2 linked regions of the Bombyx mori genome follow. Each later gene encodes a partner of the first gene's protein in a complex. Links are inferred from orthologs where the notes say so. Each region holds a gene or a part of one and is shown on either strand. Other genes may lie near its edges. The genes, in order: ATP-dependent RNA helicase SUV3 homolog, mitochondrial; polyribonucleotide nucleotidyltransferase 1, mitochondrial.

Region 1 (3,830 bases):
AATTTGATTGCTATAATGAATTCTAGCACTAACTAGCGACCCGCCCTCGCTTCGCTTCGGAAACATTAAATTTTATTATTGATAGCTGAGTCCCGCGATGTTACCCGTGGTTATTGTCGTACCGCGGGTGAAGCCGCGGGGCGAAGCTAGTCTAAAAAAAGTAGCCTAAGTTACTCCTTATATCATCAGCTACCTATCAGTGAAAGTCTCGTTAAAATGGGTATAGCCGTTCCAGAGATTAGCTGGAACAGACAGACAGACGCTATGAGCTATCGCGTTGTATGAGGTCTCGCGTTGTATGAGGTCCCGCGTTGTATGAGGTCTCGCATTGTATGAGGTCCCGCTTTGTATGAGGTCTCGCGTTGTAAGAGGTCTCGCGTTGTATGATGTCACGCGTTGTATGAGGTCTCGCGTTGTATGAGGTCTCGCGTTGTATGAGGTCAATTTTATTATTGTTTTAATATTCAATTATTATGGTCCAATTATAATTGCATAAGTTGATAAAAAAATGCTATGCAATATCTTTACCGCGACACAGCTTTTCCCCGAGGGCGACACATGTTTTTATTTATCTTATATCTTATCTTATCTTATCTTTTATATATATAAAAATTAATTGCTGTTCGTTAGTCTCGCTAAAACTCGAGAACGGCTGGACCGATTTGGCTAATTTTAGTCTTGAATTATTCGTGAAAGTCCAAGGAAGGTTTAAAAGGTGAGAAAATATAAAAAGCTCGGAATTATATAAAAACAAACAATTTTGTTTTTCCTTTGATGTGTACCTTGTCGGACATATTGTTTGCTTTAAGTTTATTTTCTACAAAAGTTTAGGTATTTTATTTATCGATTGAGGCACTACGAAGTCTACGGGGTCAGCTAGTTTTTTAAATATATTGAACTTGAACATACTCACTTTCAGGAAGGTAGCACAAACGAACGGTAGCTTGTTATTGATGGGCGCGCAACAGAACACGTAGCGCGCCCGCAGCGGCAACGGAACGTGCTGTATCATCTCCGCTAAGAACTTGAACCCCTCCGTGTTGCACATGAAGTAAAGCGAATCGTCGACCGTGCACAAGTGAACGAATATGTCCTGAAACATTCAGAGGTATCGGTAATCGTGTCGGGCATTGTCAATCGCATATTTATGTGAAAACTGAACGAATTCAAATTCTGTTCTAGAATGATTATGTCACACCCTGTATATTAATAATAATAATAATAATAGTAAAGTTGTGTGATTTGTTTATTTTGTCTATTTAGTGTTTCTTCAGGTTTAAATGTGTGATAACGGTGGTTTATTAACTGTTTAATATCTGCGAAAGTGTACAAGTGTGGGAAAATGAAATAAGTCCACTGAAAAAATCTCCGTAAATCACCACCATTTTACTGAGATTATATTTCATCTTATTTCATTTAATTTCATCCCAGTTGATAAATGTTTCAAATTAATCATCTTCATTTCATTTCACTCCATACTATCATTTTTCATAAAAATAAGAATATAAATTACTAGGTCATAAAATCCCTTAAAAAATATTAAATATTGTTTGTCTTTATTAATATTTGTCTAAAGTGTAGTCTTAACGAAATCTGTTATTATACAAATAATCAACAATTCGTTGACAATAGAATCATAATAGTATACAAACTTATAATTTCAATTAATTATAGTCGAATTTCGACAACCGGGGGACCACTAGTTATAGTAACAAAAATGTGGTATGCGCGTTTTAATAAGTTTTTTTTTATTGCTTAGATGAGTGGAGTGGGAGGAGCTTACAGTGCACCTGGTGTTAAGTGGTTACTGGAGCCCAAAGACATCTACAACGTAAATGCGCCACCCACCTTGAGATATAAGTTCTAAGGTCTTGGTATAGTTACAACGGCTGCTCCACTCTTCAAACCTAAACGCATTAATGTTTCACGGCAGAAATAGGCAGGGTGGTGGCACCTACCCGTGCGAACTCACAAGAGGTCCTACCACCAGTAAAATTTTAAGTAAGTTTAATGTAACTTTAATATTGATAGAAAAAAGCATTCACCATGAGACTGCTGAGAGTGGCGTGGGGCAGATGGTAGGCGTACAGCTCCATCTGCTCGGAGGTGGGGTGCAGGCCGGCCTGCGTGACCGGCTCGGGCGGCTGGGACAGCAGCGTCTTCAGCGTCGCGAGGTCTTCGGGCCGGTACGAGGTCACGTGGCCGGTCTCCCACGCGCTGCCGTAACGACCGGCCCGACCTGCCGAACAACAACACGTGAACTCCAATCTATCTATACTAATATTATAAAGAAGAAAGTTTTGTTTGTTTGTATTGAATAGACTCCGAAACTACTCAACCGATTTAAAAAATTCTTTCACTGTTTGAAAGCTACACTATTCCCGAGTGACATAGGCTATAATCTTTTTTGAAAAAAATTAGGGATCCTTACTAAAACTCCAATAATGTAACCCAAGGTGTAAAAAAATTACCTAAAATACTATTTACATCGCGTGCCGTGCGAAAACTATTGATGATAGAATAAAATAATGTACTACTATTTTGTAGAACACATTATTAAGTACAAAAAGTGTCGCGACAGCATAATATGTCTAACTATTATAGTTATGCTGCAATAAGTGTTCTTTTATTTAAAAAAATAAAATAACGTCAAGTATGGTTGAAATTTTTGATAAAGACCCGAGCGGAGCCGGAGTGGGCCGCTAGTACTAATATATAAATCTACAGTGGTTTTTACGGATGTTCCGTTATAACTACTGAGCCGTGCATCCGATTGACTTGAAACTTGGTATCCATGTAGAAAATACATGTACTTAATGGATAGGCTAATATTTATATGAGTGTTGGACTCCCTACACCAGTTGCAGGGGCGTTAATGATGAGAATCTTTGTGGGGTGAGAAATAATAATGTAAATTTTAAATGCCCAGCGAAGCGGACGGGTACAGCTAGTAGCGTATATATTTACTTATTTATATACGGTCCTAAGCACGTCATTACGGATCCTCCCGATCCATTATCGGTGATTTTAGGTACCTCAGGCATTGTCCTCGCCGAACCCATCGCTTGCGACGAAGGGCTTGACGAGTAAATTAACCCATAGACACAGCCCACTGAGTTTCTCGCCGGATGTTCTCAGGGGGTCGCGTTACCGATCCGGTGGTAGATTTTTTTTTATTGCTTAGATGGGTGGACGATCTCACAGCCCACCTGGTGTTTAGTGGTTACTGAAGCCCATACACATCTACAATGTAAATCCGCCACCCACCTTGAGATATAAGTTCTAAGGTCTCAGTATAGTTACAACGGCTACCCCGCCCTTCAAACCGAAACGCATTACTGCAGAAATAGGCAGGGTGGTGGTACCTACCCGTGCGGACTCACAAGAGGTCCTACCACCAGTGCGGATTCTGCGAAGCACTGCTCTTGCTAGGGCCAGTGTTAACAACACTCTGGTTTGAGCCCCGTGAGCTTACATACACGTCAAGAAGCTGAAATAGCCTCTCAAGGCTATCAGCATAGGTAGGAAAATAATAATTATATACGTGATTTTGTATTCCTATCTGTTTGTACAGTGCAGCAAATACATGTTCGGAACGAGAAACTTCATTGAATACGACAAAATTATAAAATGAATTTTAGAAAATCACATCAACCGCATTGAAATTGTTATTGTTATATTTTATAACAGTTTTAACAGGTTTAAAACGAAGATAACATAACAATTGGGTCAAACCGAAAATTAAATAAGCAGATTCCATAATATTTCTTGGCAGTACTACTCACCTGCAATCTGCAACGCTTGTGATATACTAATAACGTCCATCTCTT
Region 2 (4,612 bases), on another chromosome or scaffold:
AAAACTTAAATGGTAGGTAAAAAAAAGTAATTACGCAAAATAATTTTATTACCAAATATCTTATATTCAACTACTCTCAAATGCAATTGGAAGCGACAACAATTGTCTAAAGATGGAATTATTCGTAACGCAATGCTTATTAAGAACAGGACAAACGTTAAACAGAAGCCGTCGCGTCGCCCTCTCAGTGCTTTTCACCAGTTTTATTCCAAGCATCGCATCGGTCACAATTCTTGTCAAACCTGTCGACCGCGACAAAGGAGTCATCATGCAACTTAACCCACGGACAGAGCCTACTGAGTTTTTTACTGGATCTTCTCAGTAGGTCGCGATTTCGATCCCTTTGAGATTCACCGAAGCATTGATTTTACTTGGGCTTGTGTTTGATGTAGCTATTATAACCTATTGAGTTTATTAACGAGTACTGATATTCCAAAATAAGAAAAGATAATGCTTGCAAAGATCATCAGAGATGATTTGATTCTGAATATTGTGACTTATTGTTTGATTGTTTAACTTTAAGATTGATTCTATTATGCTTTAGCTTTAAATATTAAGTGTCAAGTATTTGTAATGTACAGAAAAGAAGGTTTTTTTAAACTTGAAAATAAGTCCCAAGAATTTTAAAATTTGTTGACCCGCATTAACGCGTCAAATGCTTGGCGAATTTTATTTTATATCCAATGCGATTATACCTTTAACTAATAAATATCCTTAAAACTGTTTAATCTGTTCGTCCAGACTCCAGGTCAAAATGTGTTTCAAGCACTGAAGTATTAAAGGTCTTTTCGCGTCATCTGAGAAGGAGCTTGCTGACCTATTCCGTAGAGTGGAGTATGAGAGTAGTTTGGTGGGGCTCTCCGTTAATAAGTCCAAAACAAAGGTCATGATAGTGGACAGAACCAGTCAACTCTCAAGAACTGGAGAGCTATCAGATCTAGAATTCGTCAGCGAGTTCATATACCTCGGGTCCTTACTGACCGACCGCGGAGGCAGTGAGGGAGAGATAAGGAGGAGGACGCAGATGGCCAAAACAGCGATGACCAAGCTCAAACGAATATGGCAAAATCGCAAAGTCTCTAACGTCACGAAAATGAGACTCGTCCGAACCTTAGTTTTCTCAATCTTTCTCTACGGGGCAGAGTCCTGGACAATTAAGGCATCCGAGCGCAAGAAAATAAATGCATTTGAAATGTGGTGCTGGAGACGAATGCTCCGAATTCCGTGGACGGCCAAGAGGACAAATAAATCTATCCTGGATCAGCTTCGCATCCGAGTCAGGCTCTCAACAATCTGTTACCAGAGGATCCTCAGCTACTTCGGTCATATTGCCCGCCGACAGTCAGATAACTTGGACAAAGTGATTGTGACGGGCAAAGTAGAAGGAAAGAGACCCCGCGGCCGATTACCTAGCCGTTGGTGTGATCAAGTAACCGCTCTAACTGGGTTGCCAGTCGCAACCGCCATTCGAGCAGCTGAGGACCGGACGAGATGGAAACAGCTCACGAGACAGGCAACGGTCAAGTTTCAGGGACACGACCTTCAGCAATGAAGAAAGCGACGAAGAAGAAGAAGAATTAAAGGTCTATAGTTTCAAGACTGTCAACTGTCAAAGAAAATTATCAACATTCAGTCAAACAACATCAGTCAAAGTTTTTGCTTGATATTGTCTAATTTAAACTTATTTTTAGTGACTTTCGTTAATTGGCGAACTTATAATATAGATATTATTATGAAAAGTAAACAAATCATTAAGATTATTTTTTAACTAAAACCATAAATTCTATAGTACTTCTAATATCATAACGGGTGTCCTTTTTGACTCTCAAGATCATATACACAAGAAAATGTTACATAAAAAATGTATATTATTAACAAAATTGAAGACGAAAAGTCGGTATTACTGTAGATTTCTCTCATCACAAGCCAAACTTGGCGTAATTGATATTCCTTTTACTAACGGGTAAGTTTCGAGGTTAGAATATTTAAGGTTATATATCGGTACATATCAATAAAAATATATAACAATTACAAATCTACCATTCCTTTTAGAATATACAGTAAACTCAATAATTTATATAACTTTGATATAAATAAAAAATAGCAATAAAATACTAATTTTATAAAATCGATATAAAAAATTTAAAAGTTTTAAAATTAATTCCAATAATTTTCAGGACCACCCTGAAATTGTCCACGGGCCGTTACGCAAGATTCGCAGATGGAGCATGTGTTGTGTCCCTCGGTAACACAAGCGTGCTATCAACTGTTGTGTCAAAAGCTAAACAAAATCCCACTTCGTTCTTACCACTCACAGTTGACTACAGACAAAAAGCCGCAGCCGCAGGACGAATTCCTACCAATTTTTTTAGGAGAGAACTGGGTAAGACATGTAACAATCAGTCGTCAAACATTTAAGCCAACAGATTTGTCAGTCAATTCATTTTAATACACTGAAGTCAAATAAAATGGGCTCTATCTACTGCATAACCAATATTTTCATAACTGATCCTGTATAAATTGCATTCATTGGATATAAAATATAATATATGAGAGCCATTGTATAATAATTGTAATTGAGAATTCAGTTTCATTTTTCAAAGTTTAATACTGCTATTAATGTCTAGACAGCATTGCTGCAAAAACTGACAAAATATGCCAAACAGCAATCTGAACTAATAATCAAGTTCATCTTTTTTTATTCTGTTGATGCTAGTCAGCATAGGGAAGTTGTAAAATTATTGTTTTTGATGTGTCCAAATTTTCCAGTTAAATGGACCTCTTGAAGTTGTTAAAAATGATGATCAAATACCAGCAAATATACATGCATACAAAAGCATGTCAAAAATGGATAGATTTTATTTTAACTAAACACTTTGCATAAGCAGTAGTTACAAAGAAAAACTAGATAATACCAAGACAAATTTATTTTAACAGGTCCATCAGAAAAAGAAATTCTTACTTCACGAGTAATAGATCGTTCCCTACGTCCGCTCTTCCCGAATAACTACAACTATGATACACAGATAGTATGCAACATGTTGGCGATGGATGGAACGAATTTGCCTGAAACAGTAGCTATAAATGCGGCAAGTGCAGCACTTGCACTTTCCGATGTGCCGTGGAATGGCCCTGTTGGTGCTGTTCGGTATTACAATTTTCATAGCTTACACAAATATTAAATTAGCTTTTCATTAAACTTTAAATAAATTTTAAATTACCAAGAGTTTTGTGTAATCTATATATCTGTATCCAGCTCATAATTCTTCTTTCAGATTAGGTCAAATTGACAATGAATTAATAATAAATCCAACACGTAAAGAATTGGAGAAGTCTGTTTTGAACTTAATCGTGACAGCTACCAGCAGTAATCTAGTAGTGATGCTGGAAGGTAGCGCCTCCGACATCCTACAGCAGGATCTACTCAAGGCCATCAAATTAGGTATGAATGTAAGTTGATTTTTTAATCAGAATATTTTCTATAAATAGAATCAGAATATAAACCCGTATATAAATAAAAACGTAACTTTGCTATATATTTTCTAAGATTGTCGTCAATCACAAATTATTAAAATATTTTTCAATATAGTAATACCGTTTGATAAAATCAAGCTGCTATAAACTTGCTGTTTTTATTTTATGGCTCATCTGAAGGCTGTTGTTAACAGAGCTTATAGATATCACTATGTGAATGTCACCACTCTGGGACAGTAATTGTATAGTATAATGGCTTTACTACCTTCAACTTGGAATGCATTATTGTTACGAAGCAGAAGTAGGCTATGTAGTCTTCTTTTTTTCTCCATATTATCCCACTGGGTGGGGTCGGTACAGCAAATTTTTCTCTTCCATTCTCTTCTATTAATCGTAATCTCAATACTCGCTTCTCTCTCTCTCTCTCTCTTTCATATCGTCATTCACACACTCCATCCATGTCTTCTTCGGTCAACCTCTTCCTCCTCTGTCTTGCACTACTATTTCTTTGCATCTTCTCTCTATGCATCACATGTCCATACCACACTAACCATCCGCTCTTTAATTTTTAATTACCGGGGCTACTTTCACACTTCCTCTGATATACTAGTAGGCTATTATAAGTAGAAATGTATACTGTTATTACTATCACAAAAAGGCTTGTCCCTTGTCATACTAATTTCATTATGTATCTAATGAACTTATTATTTAGTTTGGCACTATAGATACTATAGAATATGTAATTACAGTCATTGAATGATTCTGAGAAGAAAAGATTTACACAACACACATTGACAGTGGACACAACAAAAATGCTCTGAACCAAAGTTTTATTTCTATCTCTTTCAGGAACCAAAGAAGCTCAACAAATTGTGAGAGGGATAGAGAAACTGCAGAAGGATCATGGTAAAATGAAAAGAGAATATGAAATTCAACCACCTCTAGAACAAAACATTGTTGATACTATCAAAATATTATCTTCTATGAAAATCAGAGAAATATTGAGGTATATTGTTTTAAATTAATTAGGCCTAATTATTTTTGAAGTATTATGATTATATTTATGAGGTATTATTATTATATTTATGAGGTATTATTATTATATTTATGAGGTATTATTATTAACAAATTTAGATCT

The links.
Region 2: ATP-dependent RNA helicase SUV3 homolog, mitochondrial (region 1) and polyribonucleotide nucleotidyltransferase 1, mitochondrial share a complex: the UniProt entries of both Homo sapiens proteins name them as parts of the mitochondrial degradosome (mtEXO) complex. The link is inferred for Bombyx mori from reciprocal best matches to the Homo sapiens genes SUPV3L1 and PNPT1.

What each region holds. Positions count from the first base shown.
Region 1 is NC_085119.1:5,380,455-5,384,284, reverse strand, and holds part of ATP-dependent RNA helicase SUV3 homolog, mitochondrial, read right to left. Parts: coding exon 3,786-3,830; intron 2,240-3,785; coding exon 2,046-2,239; intron 1,240-2,045; exon of another isoform or gene 1,094-1,239; coding exon 914-1,093; intron 716-913; exon of another isoform or gene 616-715; intron 1-615. UniProt on the Homo sapiens protein: Major helicase player in mitochondrial RNA metabolism. Component of the mitochondrial degradosome (mtEXO) complex, that degrades 3' overhang double-stranded RNA with a 3'-to-5' directionality in an ATP-dependent manner.
Region 2 is NC_085131.1:2,169,935-2,174,546, reverse strand, and holds the start of polyribonucleotide nucleotidyltransferase 1, mitochondrial, read left to right. Parts: upstream 1-1,613; 5' UTR 1,614-1,847; coding exon 1,848-1,963; intron 1,964-2,177; coding exon 2,178-2,383; intron 2,384-2,937; coding exon 2,938-3,148; intron 3,149-3,275; coding exon 3,276-3,442; intron 3,443-4,323; coding exon 4,324-4,480; intron 4,481-4,612. UniProt on the Homo sapiens protein: RNA-binding protein implicated in numerous RNA metabolic processes. Catalyzes the phosphorolysis of single-stranded polyribonucleotides processively in the 3'-to-5' direction. Mitochondrial intermembrane factor with RNA-processing exoribonulease activity.